Lepisosteus oculatus: one gene and its partners. The protein of the gene in region 1 purifies or fractionates together with the protein of each later gene. This does not show direct contact. Links are inferred from orthologs where the notes say so. Each region holds a gene or a part of one and is shown in the gene's direction. Other genes may lie near its edges.

What was found.
Region 2: the proteins of nfkb2 (region 1) and nfkbib purify together in Homo sapiens (affinity purification with mass spectrometry; 4 studies listed by BioGRID and IntAct, counting the BioPlex papers as one, with this or other methods). This does not show direct contact. The link is inferred for Lepisosteus oculatus from reciprocal best matches to the Homo sapiens genes NFKB2 and NFKBIB.
Region 3: the proteins of nfkb2 (region 1) and map3k14a purify together in Homo sapiens (affinity purification with mass spectrometry; 6 studies listed by BioGRID and IntAct, with this or other methods). This does not show direct contact. The link is inferred for Lepisosteus oculatus from reciprocal best matches to the Homo sapiens genes NFKB2 and MAP3K14.

What each region holds. Positions count from the first base shown.
Region 1 is NC_090699.1:46,557,252-46,564,469, forward strand, and holds the start of nfkb2 (nuclear factor NF-kappa-B p100 subunit), read left to right. Parts: upstream 1-4,126; 5' UTR 4,127-4,399; intron 4,400-7,218. UniProt on the Homo sapiens protein: NF-kappa-B is a pleiotropic transcription factor present in almost all cell types and is the endpoint of a series of signal transduction events that are initiated by a vast array of stimuli related to many biological processes such as inflammation, immunity, differentiation, cell growth, tumorigenesis and apoptosis.
Region 2 is NC_090698.1:6,487,298-6,494,249, reverse strand, and holds the start of nfkbib (NF-kappa-B inhibitor beta), read left to right. Parts: upstream 1-3,871; 5' UTR 3,872-4,304; coding exon 4,305-4,807; intron 4,808-5,114; coding exon 5,115-5,232; intron 5,233-6,952. UniProt on the Homo sapiens protein: Inhibits NF-kappa-B by complexing with and trapping it in the cytoplasm.
Region 3 is NC_090723.1:3,723,768-3,731,295, reverse strand, and holds the start of map3k14a (mitogen-activated protein kinase kinase kinase 14), read left to right. Parts: upstream 1-4,447; 5' UTR 4,448-4,558; intron 4,559-7,528.

The sequences.
Region 1 (7,218 bases):
TGAAGCAATCATTGGGCCATCAGGCACAATGGCATGAGAGGAAGAAACGGTTTCTCTCTCTTTTTCTTTCTCTGTCAGTTTCCCTTGGCTGAGCTCTCTTTATAGCCAGATAACAGAAGTTACAATTCTAGCAGCTCTCCTCATCCAGCAACCATATAACTTTCCACTCTTGCCTTTGTAAATAATAAAAAAAAAATTATAGTTGCTTGCAGTCTATGCATTATATCCTTGTAATTATGCCAGAATTACAAGGACATATTGCTAACAAAAGAAGCATTTTAAACATAAACCACTTTTTACAGATGCAAGGTCATCTTTTAATCACTTTGAATCACTACTAGGTTACACCGAGCCAGTACAGAAGTGACATGAGGTCTTAGTTTTGTCTCTGTGAGGACTCTCGAGGCTGCATTTGGCAAAAGTGGCAGTCAAAACAGAACCTTGTTAGTGAGATCAGAAAATAGAATGTTATAGTAGTTGGAACAAAATCATGAACTAGTTACTCAGCCTCAGCAAGCAAAGAAGCTTATGTTAGCAAGATTTCTTAGGTGAGCCAAGGACTGCCTTGTAATATTATTTCATGGGGGCAGTATGCGTAGGCTGCAAAGGAACAAGTAATAGGTTTATTCTATGCTGAAAAGAGAAGAAAGAAAACACAATGTTTCTGGTGTCACCCAAAGAAGGCTCCACAGCTGAAACATTGTGTTTTCTTTCTTCTCTTTTCAGCATGGAATAAACCTATTACTTGTTCCTTTGTAATATTATTGATGTGTGAATCAAAACTTAATCTTTTATCAAATATATTTTTTTTACTTCAGACTCCATATTAGAAGTCAAATCATTTAAATTGTGAATCAGTCTGGTCTAGACTTTGTTGCCTACATGTTAGATACAGACACTGAACTAGCATAGAGGACAGAGGCTATTCTAGCACAAACTGTGTGGTAAAAGAAGCAGTGTGGGGTGGCAGGGTGGTGGATGCAGAGCAGCCCCTGAAACAACCACCCAATGGAGGTGGAGGGTGTAGACCGATGGAGAGGGAGGCACATGCTGCCTTGATTGCGGACAGCAGGGGTACATAGCGGAGTGCTTCTGTGGCAGAGAAGTGACTCAGGAAAGGGGAACAGGCCAGCTGTAAAGGAGGAGAGCTGTCCCACACGAATGAGCCCTTGAGTGGGTGAGGGTGCCGCAGTTCATGTGTGGCTGTAGGTGTGCAGGAGGCCTTGGTCGTTACTGGCACCACCGTTCCCCTGTCGACTCTGATGCATAGCTTTGGTACTGTGGGGGCAAAGGACACTTCAGTCTGGAAGAGTTCAGAGATGAGCTGCATGAAAGCCATGCTGGGCAGAAGGTGCTGCCTGTGTAGGAGGCTGCACCAGGCTAATTCTGGTTCTGGTGCTAGTCTAGGTCTCTTGGGACTTTCTCCAACCGGCAGGATTGAGAATTGATATGGCCGAGGCAGCTGGTCTCAGCAGACCAGATCCACTCCCTAAAGAAGTGAGAGTGTGGGCTGAACCTGCAACACCTGAGTGGCAGGCTAGTCCAGGTCTCTGCACAGGCGACTGGTGGAGGACCACCATGGGGGGCTCCCATAACACTCCCAAGAAAACACAAGTGTGAAGGGGGGACAGAACACCTCTATGGGCTTGAAAACACAAGTTACATGCCCATGTATAGGCCTGCAGTGAAGCAAGAATGTTCCTCACCCATGGAGGGTCCACAGCCACCGAGAGGGTCATCCCAGATCTGTGGTAAAGAAGCCAGTGGGGCCTCCACCCAATGCAGCAGCAGCTGAAAGAGCTTCTGTGGGCTTTCTGGGACACGGGATAAAGACTGTACACACACCAGCTTGGAGCAGCACCGTACTGAGATGGTGACACCCCCGTCCACCTGCCCCCTGATACTCAGAGTTGGCCAAGTAGCAGGCCACAGGAGAGGAACTCCAGAGCATGTCCAGTGCTGGATCTGGGCTCATTAATTTGGTGCTGATGAAGAAAAAGATGGATCATTTTGTTTCTGCGTGGACAACCAAGAACAAGTCACCAGAACAGATGCCTATCTACTCCCTTAGGATCTATGAGGCCAAGGACCACAATGCAGGCTCACATGGGTTCAGTTCCCTGGACCTCAGAAATGACTATGACACTGGAAGACAGGCTAAAGCCTTAATTCTCCCTAGGGGGGGCTGTGGCAGTTCCAAGCAAAGCCCTTTTGTTAGGAATTAGTAGTGAGGACCCTATGCAGAAAACCAGGGCAAACTCCAAAAGGCGTAGTTGAAAGAATAATCTGGGGTCTGAAAGCCGTAGGTAAACTAGCCGGTGCAAACGTACAAATAACCAGAGGTGGAGCAGTAAACCATGAGTAAGCCAAGAGCCAAAACCAGAACGAGAGCAAAAGTACCAGAACCGAAACCAGGAGATGTAGACGGAGAAAAAACCAGGGTCAGGAAACTAAAAACCAAGTAGTAAATAACAATGAGACTGGGAGTAGCTCTAGCCAGGAAAACCCTAATACTGAGCACCGGGAAGAGTGTGAGGCAGCATTAAATAGGCTAGGGAAAAGGGCTAATTGGGAATTGTGCTGGAATGTGAGGTGGAATGCTGATTCCTCCAGGGTCGTGGCGTAACACCTTTGGCCTCTGTCACACTGCAGTGTCCCCTGAACTGCTGACAGGCTTAAATAGTGGGACAGAACAAGAGGCAGGTGCACATAATCAACTAAAATACGAAAGGGTCGGAGCGCCCTTTAAGAGGACGGATGCCAATCATGACAAAGACTGTGTCACTAGCAACAATGCTCTATTTCTGGAAGTGATATAAAAGTGGCACTTCTGTACATATTATGTTTATGATGAATGAAATCACTAATACAACATTTTCTGGCATTAAGAGGAACAACAGCTCCATCTTGTGCGCAGTAATTTCTTCACACACAAGTCAGAAAATCCCCTAAACCCTTCTGAGCCCTGCAGGACTGCCGGCTTCCTAACCCAAACTGAGAAAGGCTAGTGAGAACCAACAAGTCCTGGAAAGATGTGACTCAGTTAATGAGATAAATTTCATAGTTGACTCCCTGGGTTATGATGTGTTAGAAAGAAAGTAAAAATATTAATACAACATTTCAACCAGTTTTGAACCTAATAGGTACTAATCTGTTGTTAGTAGCATATGAGTCTTGAGAGTGACTTTTTCACAAACAAAAGCAGTGACACATTCACACTTTCCAAATAACTCTGGCTCTTATTACTTTTGTCCCTGATAGCGAATACTTTCCAGAGGACTGAAGAGAATTGAAGAGGACAATTCTTCATTCAATGCTTCTTCTGGATATCACTGTTGGGACTGGTGTCCATAGGAGCAAAGAATTTGATTATATGATTATAAGTGAAAAGTCCTGTGAGAGACACAAATCAAATGACTTTATTGTAAACCCAATCCTACTTGATAATCTCACATACACATTAAATATCTGAGCAATGAGGAAAATCCCTTTGGCCTAATGAAACAACTGATGCTGACAAAGTACTTGCTGGTGACTCAGGTATGAACCATTCTAGTAATGCTTGTGGCCACATTATTACACATACAGCCAAAACAGATATTACTACAGCTTTTCATCTTAACAAACTTGGGTCAATATTGTCAGATGGTGTTCCGTGTTGGAATATCCATACAGCATACATCTTTTTTTAAGTTCCTGAAACACAAAATTATTGTTTTCAGCCATGACAATGATAACAAAAAATAACTAGGGGGGTTTCCTTCTTGCTCCCTCGGGGGGCAATGCTGTTGTGTTAGGAAATGTTTAAAGGACGAACTACAAACTACAAACTGTCTCCCACAGCAAGAGATACATTATTTGCGGCACAGTAAAACCTGTTGGAAATCTAGAAGTTGAATTGTGAAACGTTACTCCCGACAGTACACTAAACTCTTCAAACATGTCAAAAGACGTGTACATGATGTACTCTTCTCAACTCAGCGTTTTATTTGCTCACTTTCTGGTAGCGCAAATTTAGGGAGGGATCTACTGTATATGCAAACCCGACTTTTTCCGCGGCCAGCCAATGAGCGGCCCGGAGACGTGACAGCGGACTGTGCGGAATTCCCCTCTCTGTCCGGGACTTTCCGCCTGCCGGAGTTGCACACAAGCAGAGTGTTGATGTGTAACACAGAAGTAGCGGGCTGCCCTGAAAAACCTGCCTTTAATCTACTTGAACAATATAGAAGATTTCATAGGGGGAAAACCGCAGTGTCTTTTAGTTTGTCTTTAACTATGGATTTGCGTTCTCTGTGAGGATATTGATAGTGGTTGTGGAAACTTGGAGGAGAACAGTAACATCTCTCTGCTCCTGAAACGATACAGTAAACAACCAGGTGCTCCCGAATAACCAGAAGAGGTAAGATATATTCAAATTCATGCATGTCGCGTCTAGCCTGTGCACTGCGATATCACACCATTTCATTCTTATTAATGCGAGAGCTGCAGATTTGGGAGCTCAGCCCGACCTCCGGATAATAAATTGATACTGTTGCTCCAAAAAATGAATAAGAAGTCAAGAAGCTTGCTATCTGTGCCGTTAATTTCGACTTGAAATTGTTTAAAAAACACTTTTGTTGAAATTCGTTCTATTTAGAAAACAAGAAAATTATGTACAGAGGTAAATACAGTAGACTGCATGCAATGCACACGTCAAGGTCGGTTGTGTTAATATTGTATGTCACGGGTCCTACGGTTTCGACTCTGTTCTGACTGCAATGGTGTGTATTTGAAATGCTGACAGCCCTGCAGTTTGCCCCCTCATGTCTGGACAACCTCAGCGTAAGCCTGGGCTACTGTGACGGCTCAGCGGCACACTGTCGCTAGGGACGGTCGCGCTCTACAGTGTCCGGTGGAGAGAGACATGTAGGAGTTGAGCCTCAGTCTCGTATTTCCTGTGCTGCTAACTTTGCTGGGACTGGGATTCCGACACAACAGCACACATTAATTTATTTTACCAAGGCTACATTTTTTAACTGTAAACTGGAGTTTGATTTGCCTTTTCCATCAACCTTCCAGTTTTCCTGTCTTTAAGATTTATTCATGTAGTTATAAATACAATCCAACAGACGTGGCCTTTGGCAGGTTTTAGGAAAAGAATAAGGACACACTGTCTCCAAGTGATGTGCTTTACAGAAGGTGTGTTGGAGGGGTGAAGGGTGTGCTCATCTCTCCGGTGTGCTTGTCATCTGAAAGGTGATCTTGGTGGGTCTCTTACGGTCCTTTCAATGTTTCATCAAGACGTCTTTTAACGTTTCTCAGGCCTGTAAAAACAATTAACACAAGGCCGCTAATTTATAGTTTGGTTGGGTTCTGTACTACAAAGCCTCCTTTAACCTCAATACACTAGAAACTGTGTTTCGCAGTGTCTTTGTTCCACAAAAAGAATTCTTCATTACAAAGAGGAGAACATGAGGAAACACTTGTCTAGAAACAGTTAACTCTTAGAGGTATTGAATACATGATTGGAAAGCTGGAAATGCACAAAAGTGGACAGATGTCAGGATCAACAATGCAGCAATAAAAATTTACTTTTTCAAACCTTGTGTATCTTTAAAAAAATTGCACATCTCAAGGATCAAAGTGAGCCTTTTTAATTTTTTTCACCTTTTTATTCTATGGATGGTGTCTTTAATAGACTCCTTTATATTGGTATCGCATCGGTGAGGTCAAATCATCTTTATCTTTCTCTTTTTTAAATGTAGTGTGAATATATTTTTCTATATACACCATAGCCTACACCATACACTATATACATCATAGCCTATAATATGAAGAGCCTATGAAGATCTGTAATGTTTATGTTCCACACAAACATAATATGAGATTATCTTCGGCATCTGAGTTCCACGTGGCAAGATCTCCATTAGATACAGTAGGTCAGAATTAAGCAGGTTGATAGCTTAGCCAATGTATTGTAGGGGTCTGTAACTAACTCCTACATAGGGCCCTATTTGATAGAGGCATTGTCTTTATATTATGTGAATTCCCTGAAAATACATTCATTACTTGTAACAGGTGGTCCCTTTTAAGTCTATCACATTGTTAAAGCTCTGTGTTTGGAAATTACAACCTCTTCCTTTATTCCTTGTCTCACTAGCAAACTATTGCCTTCTTTACAACTGTGAATTTTGTATGTTTACATACCAATAATGCCTGGCTTTTCTGATGGGGAATCTATAAACATCAGAGGGACATACCTTATACCTTACCCTGTCTGGGTATTAAGGTACAGTACATATGCTTTCAGGGTTCTTTAAGGTGGTTTTAATTAATTTTATTTAATTAAATTAATCATCCAGTGGTATAATTTAAAACATTTAAACCTGTTGCAGATTCATTAGTAATAACATCTCTGTGAATTAATTAAAAATGTATTGAGCTCTTGTATGTTTTGGGGGTATCTAGTGAGAAAGGTCACTCATGATAATTCTGATTCAGATGAAGAGAATCCACATTTGACAACTTAACCAACATGTAAATGTGTATTCTGTATGTTTTTTATGTGGAATTAGAGAATAGAAATGGGGGAGTGTTTGTTTGCTAGTAAATAAAGAAGAGGAGAAATAATACAATCCCTAATCCCTCTTCTGAGATCAAATGTAGGAGATGTGCTGGTTATAACAGGAACAGCTATTCTTGAACTGTCCTCATGTCAGTGAGCTCATTGTTTAACAATACTTCAACAATTGATGAGATTCAATTTTATAGTGACCAGAACAAGATAAAGATTAAGGTTCACCCTTAATCAGCAGGGTTTTGTGAGTTGTGTAAATGGCCAGAATTCTCGCTTTGGTGCAAAAAGAAATGCTTATGTATTATAGAAATGCTTACTTTGCTCAAAAAAGGTTTCATTGTTGTACAGTATCATTTACAGGCAATGCCCAGGCCACAAGTCTATATGCAGCGTTCATGGTTCATGCACATTTTTTTATTGGTGGGACTTTCAAATCCCAATTGACCATTAAGGTGTGACTCGTTGAAGTCGGAGGATATAGACACACTCGTTCTCATTACACACCCTTGCAGCCAGCTTAGCAGTGTCTGTAGCAAATCTCTTTACATGGTGGTCTCATCATGGATTTTTCACACACATGCTCCAGCTGTTTCACTGTTATAGCACAGCCTGTTAGACTTGCAGGGGAGCCTAGTGAATCTGATTTACACTGGGGATTCTGT
Region 2 (6,952 bases), on another chromosome or scaffold:
GCTAGGACTTACGTGAGTGAGCGGGATAGAGATTGGCGTGTTATTCAGAGGAACAGGGCTGAATCTGACCAGGGTCTGTATCTTACCACCATGTCAAGGTCCTTTAAGGAGTGTTACACCTGTGTCATGTAATCAGCAGGAAACACCCGCACAGCACTTCGACAGCGAAGGCAGGCAGTGGCGCAAAACACAGCGCTGATGGAGAAGGAACAGGTAGTGGGTTTATTCCAGGCTGGAAAGGGGAGAAAGGACACACAACGTTTGGGCTGTGGAGCCTTCTTCAGGTGTGAGAAAGACAGGGCAGGCGGCGAAGATTAAAGAGCAGAATCTTGGGTCCAGGAGAATCTGGGTTTGGCGGCCAGGCTGCGCCGGGCCTCCTCCTTAACCTGAGTTCATGTTTCAGGCGTGAGTGATCACCCCCCTTCATTCACATCTGAAATGAGCAAACGCACCAGAAAAAAAACGCTTTCTGGGGCAAATGAGTGTTAGTCCACTTCGGAAGCGGATGTACAGCTCATGGAGCAATCCGTATTACACATCCTCCACCGGGAGATAATATTCTAATGCTCTAATACCAGTCTTCACCGCGGAGGGCACGAGTCCATTCGTTAACGGCCATTGGCCAGAGGAATATTCTTAGAACGGCAGAACCCAGTATGACGTCACCACGTGATAATGCGCCCTTTGATTTCCGCTTGTAAAGCACAGAATTAAACTCCACCCCTCGTCCCCCCCCCCCGTCTCCGCTTGTCACCAAGGAGACACCACTGCTGTTGTCATAGCGACGACACCCCCCCCACACACACACACACTCCCCACATTACATTCACACATTCCCCGGTACACACAGTCACTAGGTTGATTTTTTCCTGCTGTGACCTCTTAATCGCGTTCTAAAAAACACCGTCCGTTCAAAAAAGCACACGTCCCCCCAGGCTGACGCAGACCGCGAGAGGAAGGTGCAGACCTTGTATTCAAGGATTTGCTTAAATTCGCCTTTTTTTTCTAACCCAGATTTAAAACGAAGACCTGGTACAGGGCAATAGAATTACTGTGATTTCGGTTTATGCTGTGTGTGATTGAATCCGTGTCTTAAGTCATTTTAAAGCCAAGGTTATAAGTTAATACCCTTCAGAAAACAGGGATAAATAAAACCGGCTGAGAGCAGCGAGGGTGCCGGGGCTGTTGCCTGGGCACGGTGCACAGCGCCCCCGCCTGGACACACCCCGCACTGCGTGCTGCCACAAACCCGGTGTTCCTGCGGTTACGTCCATCTGGAACCCGGCGCGTTAGCTCTGTGACCGCGGGTTTGAGGGCGGATCTGCGTGCTGCGGGTGGTGAACACCCCCGGCACAATTACGACTTGCAGAAAACGTGGCCTGTTGAGAACTCGTAGCAGGTGCTGCCGGTTTCTGCAGACGCGCCTGGGACCGGCGGCGGGGTTGGACGGGAACCGGCGCGGAGCTGAGCGAGCCCGTCGGCAGAGCCCGGTCGCGCCTCGTCTCCGCGAACAAAGAGAATCGGCTCGGGGACGGATTTCTGAAGCTTGGGCGCCACCCAGCGGACAGATTGAGAAAATTCTAACTGTAATACAACTGTAATACAATTGGAGAATTGGGGTTGCACGACAGGACTCCCCAGTGTTCGTTTTTACTTTATATATATATATATTTTGTGTTTTCTAAGCCGTGTGCTGCAGTAGTTTAAGCGTAAGACTGCCCACAGATCATATTGAGTTTCTTTACATATAACGCGAATTAGTGTACACCAGGGTGTCATTATGATATGTTTTTGCACATAAGCATTTCGTATCACACGAATCCTCTCGTATCGTACTGTAAGCTTGTTGGTTTCAGTTGGTCTGGCTCTTGCCTCTGGGTATTTTACTGCTACAGTTCAGGTGCCGTGGGTTCGTCACACTCCAACACCAGCGTCTCACTTCGGATTCGAACCCACATCCTTTACCACTCCTCCATAATGCTGCCTTATACGTTAAAAAAACAATAATACGTTGTGTGTAAGAGTATTACGGACAGAAAATAGATACTCTGTTGCAATTCCAGCCATCCCTGTTCTAATCCCTTTATCCAACACAGGGTCACGGAGAGACAGGACCCATCCCAGTGAACAAGGGGCACAAGGCGGGATACACGCCGGGCTGGACACCAGTCCATCACAGGACCCACACACACACACACACACACACACACACACACACACACACACACACACACACACACACACCAGGGCAGCTCTTCCCAGAGGCCAAATAACCTGCCAGTACTTTTCTGGACTGTGAGAGAAAGCCCCACGCAAACTCCACACATACAGCACCCCAGGAGCTGACCTGTGAGGCAGTAATGATAACCACTCCTCTAGGGAGGCTCGGTTTCATGAAGGCATTACAATTGATGTTGTAGGGTGATGCAGAGAGGGGCCACTGGTTAAGACGGAGATGTGTTTTCCCAGTGGAAGATCCGTAAACTAACTTGAACTGTCAGGGCTCGGTCTGCAGACAGAGCCAATGAAGGAACCGATCAAGGTCCGGGCTCACAGTGAGGCAGAGGGCACGGCCGCGATGAACCTGACGGCCGAACGCTATAGGACATCAATGTTCCCGGGAGCAGTACTAGAGTATTTTGTGATTCACGCAGAAATAACATTTAAAACGCTGACATTGGGGACGTAAGGCAGCTAGCATTGGTGCCACACAGCGCTGGGGCCCCGGGTTCAATTCTGGACCTGGGGTACTATCTGTGTGGAGTTTGCGTGGTCTCCTTTGCTCATGGCTTGGCCCTGGTGTGTGTTCTGTCCTGGGTGTGTCCTAGGTGTGCCTATTGCTTGCTGGGATAGGCTACAGCCCCCTTGGGGAAGATGGATGTTACTGTATATTTAAACGGGCATCCATTCGCTAACCCAGTCATTAGGGTCCTGTAGTCCTGCATGTTCCCTGTTTTTTTTTCCCAGTATTTAGGCCTGCTGTGCAAAGATGAATTAATCTGGGTCCCTTTATCCTTCATTTCAAACTTTAATGAAAACCACAGAAAATCGGGTCAGTTTGAAAGGAAGCTGTTTCTTTGAAAATACCACCCTGGCTGAGCTGTTGTACCTTTCTGACCTTGTCTGACATCCGACAGATTACAGTGTTGTTTTTTCCTGTTTAATAGCCTCGTTTAATAGCACAAAATGAAGCAAGGGGAAAGGGAAGAGATGTTCTTCACCCATTGTCGAACCACAGTGGTACGTGGTGTCTGCTTTGAGAAACGGGAGATTTTAAACATACAAAGACAGCTTCTCGATGTTTTCATTTAATTTGCTTTGTGCTATCGTAAGTGCAAAGTTCAGTGGACTGGGGAGTCTCGAGTGTCTCCGCACGTCTGGCTCAGTGCTGAACCACACAACAACTGTGGGCGCTTTCATTTAAAGTCGTCTTGCTGTTGTGGTTCTGCTCGTCACTGTAGAGTCTCTTTCAGATCCGTCAGTTGCTGTAAATAGTCTCACCCAATCAGGTATACAGGGTATGTTCTGTATGTCACGGAGAACACACAGTTCTTCAGTCTGTAGGCGGGCGATTTGAAAGAACGCGTTACTTTATTTACGGATCTCTTCCTAACTTCATGCACAAGAAGAAACAAATCCAAAACTTTGCTTCCCGGCAATAGAAAGGACAAGTGCTTTTTATATCGGAAATTAGACAGAATAAACCGGCCATATTTATATAAGTAATCATATGATGTTTGCCTGCCTTTATTATGAACTATACACAATCAATCTCGTCATCGCTCACGTCTTTTCCTTAAACTTTATAAAGGATTATCCTAAAAATGTAACTTTTTTTTCTCATCAAAAGTACATTTTTAAAAGTGTTTGCCATTGCGTGCTTGTCAGGAAAGCCTGTCGAGTCCGTGGGCTTCGGCGCAGCGTGCGTGGGAAATGACGTCACCGCGCTCGGTTTTACTGTAAACTTCCTCTCGAGCGGGTAGGCGTGTCCTGCGTGCGCCGTGATTGGTCGGCAGAGGGGTTGGGGATTCCCCCAGATTCAGAAAGAAAAACAGTAATTTTCCAGACTCGAGAGCGAGCAATCTGGTTCAAAGAGAAACTGAAAACAACGGATTTTCTGCGCAAGGGGGACCGCTGAACCCCCGAAACATGAAGACCGAGCCCAACGAAGGGGGCAGCTAGAAAAAGCACTCTCACCGATCCGCGGTTCCGAGCTGCACGAAACCTTAAAAGGCGATCTGTCACGCTAGCTCCCCTGCCAGGCTCTCGCCTCTTTCCCCTCGCAACCCGTTTTATTCTCCCTAATGGCTGACCTGCAGCAGCAACAACCCGAACCCCGGCCGCCCGGGTCGGGCAAGGCCCGTGCACAGCGCCCACAGTGTGGGGTCGGCTTCGGCGGCAAGCCCGTGGGGCTGGATGTCGAGGCGGAGGACTGGTGCGACAGCGGGCTGGATTCGTTCAGCTGCTCCACGCTGGGTTCCGAACCCGACCCGATGGGCGCCTGGAAGACGGCACCAGCCAGCACCAGCCTGGGGCCGGCCCGGGACCCGCAGGACTCTGGTGGGCCCACCTGCCCGGACCCCCAGACATCCGACACCTGTGTGTCTCTGGGTGGAGACAGGTTGGACTCGGCGCTGGGGGACTCCATCACGGACGAGCTCCTGGGCAGTCTCTCCGAGGGGATCGGCACGCTCGGTCTGGGCGATGCTGGAGGGGGACCCGGCGGTCCCGGCGGCCGAGCCCAGGAGCTGCTGATGACGGAGGAGCTGTTCAACACGCTGACTTTCGTCTCGGAGGACGGGGACACGTGAGTGGCGCACCTTCGCCGCATAAATCGTTTTTAAAAGCCGTTCGAGTCTCCCTCCTGCTGGGGATCTGACTCCGTGCTCTGCCTTGAGCTGAAATGTGGGGTAAAACGCGCCTGCGGGTAGTGACCGTGTTTTAGGGACCTTTGTTGAGGTGTGGGGGTTCTCGGGGGTCACCCGCTCGCCCTGCTGCGGTTTCCCAGGGGCGAGGATGATGGCTCGCACGTGTGAGGTGGCGTCCAGTGTTAGTGGCCTTCGTGTCCAGTCGGCTAGTGCGAACTCGGTTACCTCTTCTCCCTCCTCTGTCAGTGCTCTACACCTGGCGCTGATCCACGAGCACTGGGCCTTCCTGCAGTACCTGCTGAGCGTGGTGTCTCTGGACCCAGCCTGGACCCAGTACCTGGACACACAGAACCACCTGGGCCAGGTAACTACCCCGCACGCGTGCACATTGGGCTCACAGGTGTTGCAGTATGCTGTGGTCTGTTCACCCTGGGCAGTGTGTGTTAAGTAGTCTCTTAACACTGCAGTGTCCAGTCAGTGTGTCTGTATTAACCCCTCTCTCTCTCAGTGCAGTGTTAATGTACTGGAGTGTCCAGTCAGTGTGTCTGTATGAACCCCTCTCCCTCAGTGCAGTGTTAATGTACTGGAGTGTCCAGTCGGTGTGTCTGTATGAACCCCTCTCTCTCTCAGTGCAGTGTTAATGTACTGGAGTGTCCAGTCGGTGTGTCTGTATTAACCCCTCTCTCTCTCAGTGCAGTGTTCATGTCCTGGAGTGTCCAGTCAGTGTGTCTGTATTAACCCCTCTCTCTCAGTGCAGTGTTAATGTACTGGAGTGTCCAGTCAGTGTGTGTGCATTAACCCCTCTCTCTCAGTGCAGTGTTAATGTACTGGAGTGTCCAGTCAGTGTGTGTGCATTAACCCCTCTCTCTCGGTGCAGTGTTAATGTACTGGAGTGTCCAGTCAGTGTGTGTGCATTAACTCCTCTCTCTCAGTGCAGTGTTAATGTACTGGAGTGTCCAGTCAGTGTGTCTGTATTAACCCCTCTCTCTCTCTCAGTGCAGTGTTAATGTACTGGAGTGTCCAGTCGGTGTGTCTGTATTAACCCCTCTCTCTCTCAGTGCAGTGTTAATGTACTGGAGTGTCCAGTCAGTATTAACCTCTCTCTCAGTGCAGTATTTTCCAGTGTGTCTGTATGAGCCACTCTGTTTACGCTGGCACAGATATTCTGTAACGAGAGAACAAGAGGAAGTGTCCCAGATTATTTTTGTCAGTGGTGCCCCAGAATGCACCCTCTGGTGTTCTTAAGGAATGAGCTCATGTTCCAGTCCAGCCAGGGCGTGTTAGTGTAAACACACCGCTGTCACGTTCAGTCGGACTGGAGGAAATTCCCAGGGAGAGCTGCCTGCCTCCCGGCAGCGCTGTCATGTTCCCAAACTTCTTTCTGACGTTGGAGCTGGAGGAGGAAGCGCAGGCAGCCAGACCGATACCCCGACTCCCCTGGGCTGGGGCTCCCTTGCCACATCAGGTGATGGTGTCACGTCCACGACACGTCAGCCTGCCTTTGGACTGGATAGCGCACGTTCCCAGGCTGTGCTCAGTACTGGTGGGGGACCGGACGTGCTGGAGGAAGTCTCTTCCTGTAGTTAAAGAGGAACTGCAGCCCAGTCTCTCATGAAGCGCTAGGGATACCAGTCACCCTGGTTTCTCTCCTCCCTTCCCTCTTGGAAGAGTAACAGGAGCACGAAAGCACGAACGCCCCGATTCAGAGGCGGTTTCTTCCCGCTAGCTGTCAGATTACTGAACTCTACCCCTACCACCGGCGCACACTGATGGAGTTTTTTCTCATACTGCTTGTCTGACTTCTGTTTTTTATTCAACTCGTTGTTGTTGCTGCTGCTGCTGTTCTGTGTTTGTGTTTCTGGTGATTGTCTTTGTATCGGCGCATACATGCCAATAAGCGTTTCGTTGCACCCGTGCGTACGACAGATAGACTGAGCCGCACTTCTTAAATCTCGGGAGCCAAATAAATTCGTCGACGTCGAGGAAAAAAGTGAAAGTGCTGTGAGTCTCCGTGTTGACCCGACTTGCACTCGGGGTCCCCCGAATTGCGCCATGTTATAGTCCTTCCTGCTCACTAGTCTCCA
Region 3 (7,528 bases), on another chromosome or scaffold:
TGCATCAGCAAGTTACTCAAAACCTCCACTGGTATTTGGTACAATGATAAAAATTTAGTTATTAATACAGCTTAGATTGAGTGAGAGAAAAAACAAGCTTGTCATGTAGTCATTGGTCATTCACATGAATGAAAAACACTTCAGAACATTTGTATCATCATACTCAAACTAAACCAATCATGAGCAGCATATAAGAACATTTAAAAAGACCACAAACACGAAGTGGACCATCTAATCCCCATGGATGGTAGAGGCAAATCCATAGATATCATTCAGACATTTCTTGAAAAAATAAATGGTATCGGCTTCAACAAAATGGCTAAGTAGCTTATTGCTGACAGCCAGAACTCTGTGTAAAACGTGCCCTCTGTTCCCAGTTTTAAATGTACCTTCTTGCAAATTACACTTGTGTGCTGGGGTTCGTGTCTCGGTGTTGATTCTGAAGAGTTTACAATGCCAACGTCTCTGAGGCATTTGAATACTTGAATTATATATAAAATATGTGAAGTGTTTACCCATTTACGTTTACCAGTCAAATAAATTCTGGCCGGGTGTGGCTTGTTATTCACATAGTGTGTTCCTCTCTACACATCCATCGTGCTCAAAGGCAACATTTCGCTCTACAGCACTGAGATCTGATAGGACTTAAAGCCAAGTGGCTACAATTCCGAAGGCAGAGAATAACCGGTGTTGTGCTTCAGCGGAAAGAAAGGAAAACCCTGAGTGGTAAGAGCTGAACAATGGAAAGTGTCTAAGTCTGCCGCACAGCTGAGTCTGTCAGACCGTTCCTAGTGCTACACCGAGTCGGCAGTGAACCAGGACCAGTATGGACCCAGAAACAACAGGGCTGTGTCCCTTGTTCCCTGTAGAACACTGCCCACTACAAAACATCAGCTCACAAACAGCTTTCGTTCTGCTCTTTTACTTGCTTGCTTTGTATTGTGCATCACTGATGCCACTTGATCTTGCGCTGCATTTATACTGCACTTCACTGACGTAGTATGCTGTCCACCGTGCTGGATATGAACTGTTATAAGGAAGAGTGCCTTTTTTTAAACCAAAACCGTTAGTAACTGAGGAGCCACTGGAAGAGTAATGTTGTGCAATGCTCATTTACTATCGCAAAGGTTTTATTTTGACGTGTCACCGTGAGCAGAGACGGGCAGTCTCCCCTGAAAAGAGAGAAAAATAACGATCAATTAGGAAAGTCAGACTTGAAATCGGATCGTAGGTCGAGGTGCGCCCCCTGCTGACCATTCTGTGAACGGCCTTCACGGAAGAACCCCACGGCCTACTACGCGTTCGTTATCCCGAACCGCAGGTAGGATTGGTCTGGTCAGGGCATTGATCGCATGTTCATTCCAAGCATGTCCCAACATTCCCAGCTGAGCCAGGCTTGTTACTAGGTGACGACGATAGGTATTGATGTGGCAAGCAGACATTCAAAAACCTCCTTGGCCTTCTAATGTTAACCCCTTATTATGACTTTATAGACTAGCATACCCCCTTACAGGCAACTTCCAAAACCGAACAGCTAGCTGGGTCTTTTACCAGAAAGACAGTACAAAGTTTTTTAGTCACTTCTTTACCACCCTCATTTGTTTTTGTTAATATTAACCAAATACAACAATAATAATAATAATAATAATAATAATAATAATAATAATAATTGCTTGCACTTATACATCAATTTAATCAATTTCCCTTTGGGATCAATTAAGTCTTATCTATCCACATGAGGGGGCGGGGCAGAGGCACTGTGGTTAAGGCTCTGCACCTGTGGCTGGAAGGTTCCCGGTTCGTATCCTGTGGCTGGCAGAGGAGTCCTACTCCGTTGGGCCCCTGAGCAAAGCCCTTAACCCCACCTGCTCCAGGGGCGCTGAACAATGGCTGACCCTGTGCTCTGACCCCCAGCTTCTCTCCCTGCCTGTGTGTCTCATGGAGAGCAGGCTGGGGTCTGCGAAAAGACAAATTCCTAATGCAAGAAATTGTATCTGGCCAATAAAGTTTTCTTATCACATATAGTCCTTTTTCTGGACACTCCACTCAAAGCGCTTTACAGGTAATGGGGATCCCCTCCACACCCACTAGTGTGCAGTCCCACCTCGATGATGCAACTGTAGCCATAGTGCACCAGAACACTCCCCACACACCAGCTACCAGTGGGGTGGAGAAAAGAGAGATGAAGCCAGTTCATAGATGGGGATTATTAGGAGGCCATGATTGGTAAAGGCCAGGGGGAAATTTGACCAGGACACCAGGGTAACACCCCTATTCTTTTTGAGAAATGCCCTGGAATTTTTAATTACCAGAGGGAGTCAGGACCACGGTTTTACATCTCATTCCAAAGGATGGCGCCTTTTTTTAGAGATTGAAGATTGAATCTTCTTCTGATACAAGATTGAAGAATTCCATCATCTTATTCTGCACTGCTCTTTGGAACAGAAGCTTTGTCTTGCAGAATTGTTTACACTGGTGCAATACACTGGCTTGGGGTTATACTACAGCCTGTTGAAATAAGAAATGACGCAAAATACTCTGTACGGGGCACAGAGTGTAGCCAATATTACTGAGGAGATTCAATTACACTGTCCTGGAGAGAGGGACAATGAAAATTATTAAAGCCGCAAAAGAACAAATAAACATGTTCTTGATAAAAACGTTCATTTTAACCTAAAGTTCCCTCTTAATTCAATTGCCGAAGCAGATTTTCAGCACGCCCTAGCCGATCTGCTGCGCAGTTGGGCTGCAGGTGCAGACTGCTGCGAGTTACGTCAGAGCTCTGCGCCGCTCTGGGATGACGAGCGCTGCAGGAATATAAACTTTCCAGCAGAGGGCAGTCTAACCCCGAATTGGGAAGACGCTGAACTATTCTCCCTTTCCTTCTCATACCTTGTGTATCTCAAAATGTGTTTTGTCCAGAATATACAGGTACATCATTAAGAGCTGATTAAATTTAAAACTGAGGGTGACATATACGCACACAAAATTAAACTTCTCCGCGGGCAAATTGTTAACCAGTGAATTTGGGCCGTTGATTCTAGCGAGGGTGCAGGACAATGTGTGCGTGAGGGAGTATATCAGCTACTTCAGTTTCGGGAACCACGACGAAAGCTTTCCAGCACATTGGAGGTGTCTTAGTAATACATTAACACTTGGAACCTCTCTATAGAAATTTCCAGAGTCTCTTTCGAAAATCCACAGGGCATGTCTGTAGAAACCGTCAAGTTATTTTTGTAAGGATAAAGTAATCTGTCTGTACTTGAGAGGTGTCCAGGGAGAACTTACTACGGCTTTCACTAGTTGCCCAGATATTAACCTCATAGGTTGCAAGTTGCAGAGATTTCTACTTTAGCTGAAGCACAAGAACAGTTGCAACCAAGAGGCCATTCAGCCCATACAAACTGATTGGTAGTTTGTAGCTAATTGATCCAAGGATCTCCTCCAGTCATTGTGTGATGGAAACAAGGGTCAACGTGACTGGGTAGCTTGTTCCCAGCTCCCACAACCCTGTGCGTAAAGCAGTGCGCCCTGTCCTTAGTTTTAAATTAAACTTCCATGTCCTTTACACTTGTTCCTGCGGGGTCATTTGTCACAGTGAATTCCGAAGAACTCTGGTGGGTTGATTTTGTTTTTCAATGCCTTTGGAGGATTTCAAATCTGTTTCAGGTCCCCCCGCAGTCTCCCCTGTTCAAGACTAAAAGGATTCAGTTCCCTCACGTCAGTGTAGCTCAATGTAGTTCAAGACATCGCGGAGCAGCCATTACTTAAATCAGTCCTGTCACTGAAATAATTTCTGTGGTGCCCAGGCGAACGGTACAGGGTTCACTTCTAGCCAGGAGTGTGTTCTAAGTGGAGTTTGTTCTCTTGGTTTCATCGCACGGTCCAAAAGAAAGCCTGGATAGGCTGATTGGTGTCTCTTTATTTTGTCCTTTGTGTCTATGTGTGGGCCTTACAATACATTGTTATGCTGAAATGCTTTATACCAGTAGTCCTGCATAATGAGTTCTGTGGAACGTCTGAGGGTGTCATTCCAACAGAAACTCTCTTAGCTTCACCTTAGGATTTGTGAGAGATTTTAAAAGTAGGTGTCTATAGGCTCAAACCTATACAGCCGACGATATTTTGGTGTAATATACAGTATTTCAGTTATTTTCTAATATGACATCATGAGGCAGAGGATTTACACATTGGCCTTTTGCTGCTTCAGAAAGGAAATGCTGCCCAGATGCATGATTTTCACTACTGTACGTTTTACGCGAGGTAACAGAAAGAAAACCCGGTTTCACTGAGCAGATATTTCTCATTGTAGAGAGAAAATATCAAGTTAACATTCAACAGCCTGAGCCACAAACCCAGCTAGAAAACGACCTCCTGTTTAAAAAACAAACCACGAGAAATACTTTCGTTTTCTATCTGTCACATCCTCTTGTTAATGATGTAATGTGTATCGTTGAGACAAGACATTTTGTTGTCAGTGCTGTGCCCCTGGCCGAACCGGGAGAACTCCCGAGCCGTGCAAGCAACTCTTCCAGACAAAATACAGCGAAGATCTCGGGTGAGTTCGTGTCCATTTTTACTCGGTTCGGTATTTCAAAGGGTTGCAAGATAAAGCAAACTAATTTTTAGGACCAAAAAAATATATATTTTATACATAAAATGGCGGAGATGGCTGGAAAAGGGGAAGTAGGTACCGTACAGCAACATGAGACGTTTTTCTTCTTCTGAATCTCTCCGGATTTTAAAAGCCATCACGGACTTTTTCTGTTCCGAATATGGCGTGGTTTTGGAAAGTGTACCTTCTTGTACTTCGGGGAGTTTGGACAGGATCCAAAGAAAGGGCATTTCAACGTGATTAGCCGTATTTTGTAACTATATATGACAGAGATCTTTACCTGCCCCCCTTTCTGTCGGTAAACGGACGGAATCCGACACCCGCTTTGTGAAACTCGTGCTTCTCAGAACACATCGTCATTGTTTTAATAAATAAGATGGTTTGCTTTTTATAAATGTTTGTTTATGCAGTGTACCCTAAAACAATTATAAATACTTTCTGACGTAGTTACGCGCAATATAGCAATTAATTTTCAGAAAGACATTGATTCATTAACAACTATGTTAAAGTTAATGTGAGCCAGTTTACGATTGTTGACATTGCAAAACTCATTAAATGTAATGTTTAATATTTGAAGGTTTACGATTTTGCTGTTTTGATTAGGTTATACTTATGTTGCGTTGAACCTTAAATGTTATTGCCTAAACAAACAGCTTGTTGTCGTTTTCTGTTATTTGTATGATGTTATTTCTGTACACAAACTGTTTAAGAAGTTAGAGGGCAAGCGTATATACTGTACAGTAGTAACAATGTATCTCTGAGAAGTGCGTTTTAATGCATTATATTTTGGAATATCTAAATGTAAAGGGTACTCATTTAGACTAATAATAATTTATATTTGTCTATATTTTATTTGTAGCTTGTACAATACCAATACATTTATTAGAACACTTATCGATACTATTTATTAAAGACGTAGTGTATAATTTGTTATTGTATTAGTGTTCAATTTTTTTGCAAACTCGTCTCATTTTGAAGGAATTAAAAGGCTAAAGGAACGTTGCAGGCACCACTAGTCTTGTGATTTTTCTGAAATGCTGTCCAGGTAGCTGATTCACACGTTGGACAGCAGGGTGAGGTAAAACAGTTCAGTGCTAAAGGTTTTGTCAGTGAGCTTTTGCAAAGTCCACTGCGATTTATAATTAGTGCCCGTGTGTTCACTGAGTATATCTACACACTGACTTAATTAAAGATCAATCTGTAATGGTACCTGTTTTGTAACTATCCAGTATTTACGTGTGTACTCAAAGCAATATCATACGCAGCAGATGCAGCAAATGAAATTTGAAGTGCTTAAGATACAATTCAAGACTTGGCAAACACCTGGCAGATGATATTTATTGTAGACGAGTGCAGGATTGTGTAGGTAAAGTAAGTAAAAACAAACTATAAATACTACAACAAAAATCACTGAGCTAAAAAAAGTGATCTTATGAGAAAGGTTTTGGTGTTTGTATTGAAACATTGTTTCTACTAGACAAGGGGTCTCAAACTCAGTCCCTAGAGGGCCTGATGTCTCTTTTACACAGTTGGTCTAATTATTTAATTAACTACACAGTTAATTAAATAGACCAACTACACATTTCTAACCAGGGTCTCCAGTGATTTATAGGTAACTGTACCTTTAAAGAAGTGATCCACTTCAGTGGTTTCATGATCCAAACATCCCACATTCTTCTGGGTCTGACTGATATACAGTACAGTATATACATATATACTATATATACATATGGGTGGATACTACACGTTGTTGTTTGTAATTATAATAATTACTTACACTTATATAGCGCTGTTTCAGGATACTCCACTCAAAGCGCTTTACAGGTAATGGGGACTCCCCTCCACCACCACCAGTGTGCAGCCCCACCTGGATGATGCGACGGCAGCCATAGTGCGCCAGAACGCTCAGCACACATCAGCTATCAGTGGGGAGGAGAGCAGAGTAATGTAGCCAATTCATAGATGGGGATTATTAGGAGGCCATGATTGGTAAGGGCCAATGGGAAATTTGGCCAGGACACCGGGGTAACACCCCTACACTTTTCGAGAAACACCCTGGGATTTTTAATGACCACAGAGAGCCAGGACCTCGGTTTTACGTCTCATCCGAAGGACGGCGCCTGTTTACAGTATAGTGTCCCCGTCACTATACTGGGGCATTAGGACCCACATGGACCACAGGGTGAGCGCCGCCTGCTGGCCCCACTAACACCTCTTCCAGCAGCAGCCTTAGTTTTTCCCAGGGAGTCTCCCATCCAGGTACTGATCAGGCTCACACCTGATTCAGTGGGTTGCCAGTTGTGAGTTGCAGGGTGATATGGCTGCTGGCTGTATATGAATATTACAATTCATGATGCCTGCAGCTTGCCGGTCTTTATGAAGGGTGTGCTGCAGAGTTTTGAACTCCAGTCATTAACCAGGCCCTTGCCCTTGAAGTATTCCAGTCATGCCTGTGGAAATCTGATGAATCCTACCAGGGACTGAAATTGGCACACACTCCAACACAGTTTGGGGGTGGTTAGAATAACACAGCCTCATAGAAATGCAGCCCAGGGTTCTCTTTACACAAATGCAAAGAATGCTGTACATTTGAGTAGGCGTGGATGAGTCACTTGTGAGTGCAGCTTAGCATTCCATTTAATGAAGGAGAGCTAAGTGCAGTTCTTTTCAACACTGCACTTTAGGGGAAGCTCATTTCTTAGTCTTACACGATAGCTCTGTTCATTCTGCTGTTCCACAATGGGATGAAAAATGTTGCCATGTAATTGCATTTTTTCCTGGTAATGTTATCCTAACATCCTCCACTACAGTGTTAAAATGCTTGGTTGTCTAACATCGAGATATCCTGCTATTAACTCTCTGTTTTCAATACTGAACACATGAATTCCTGCTCATGAATTAACACCCCCAATC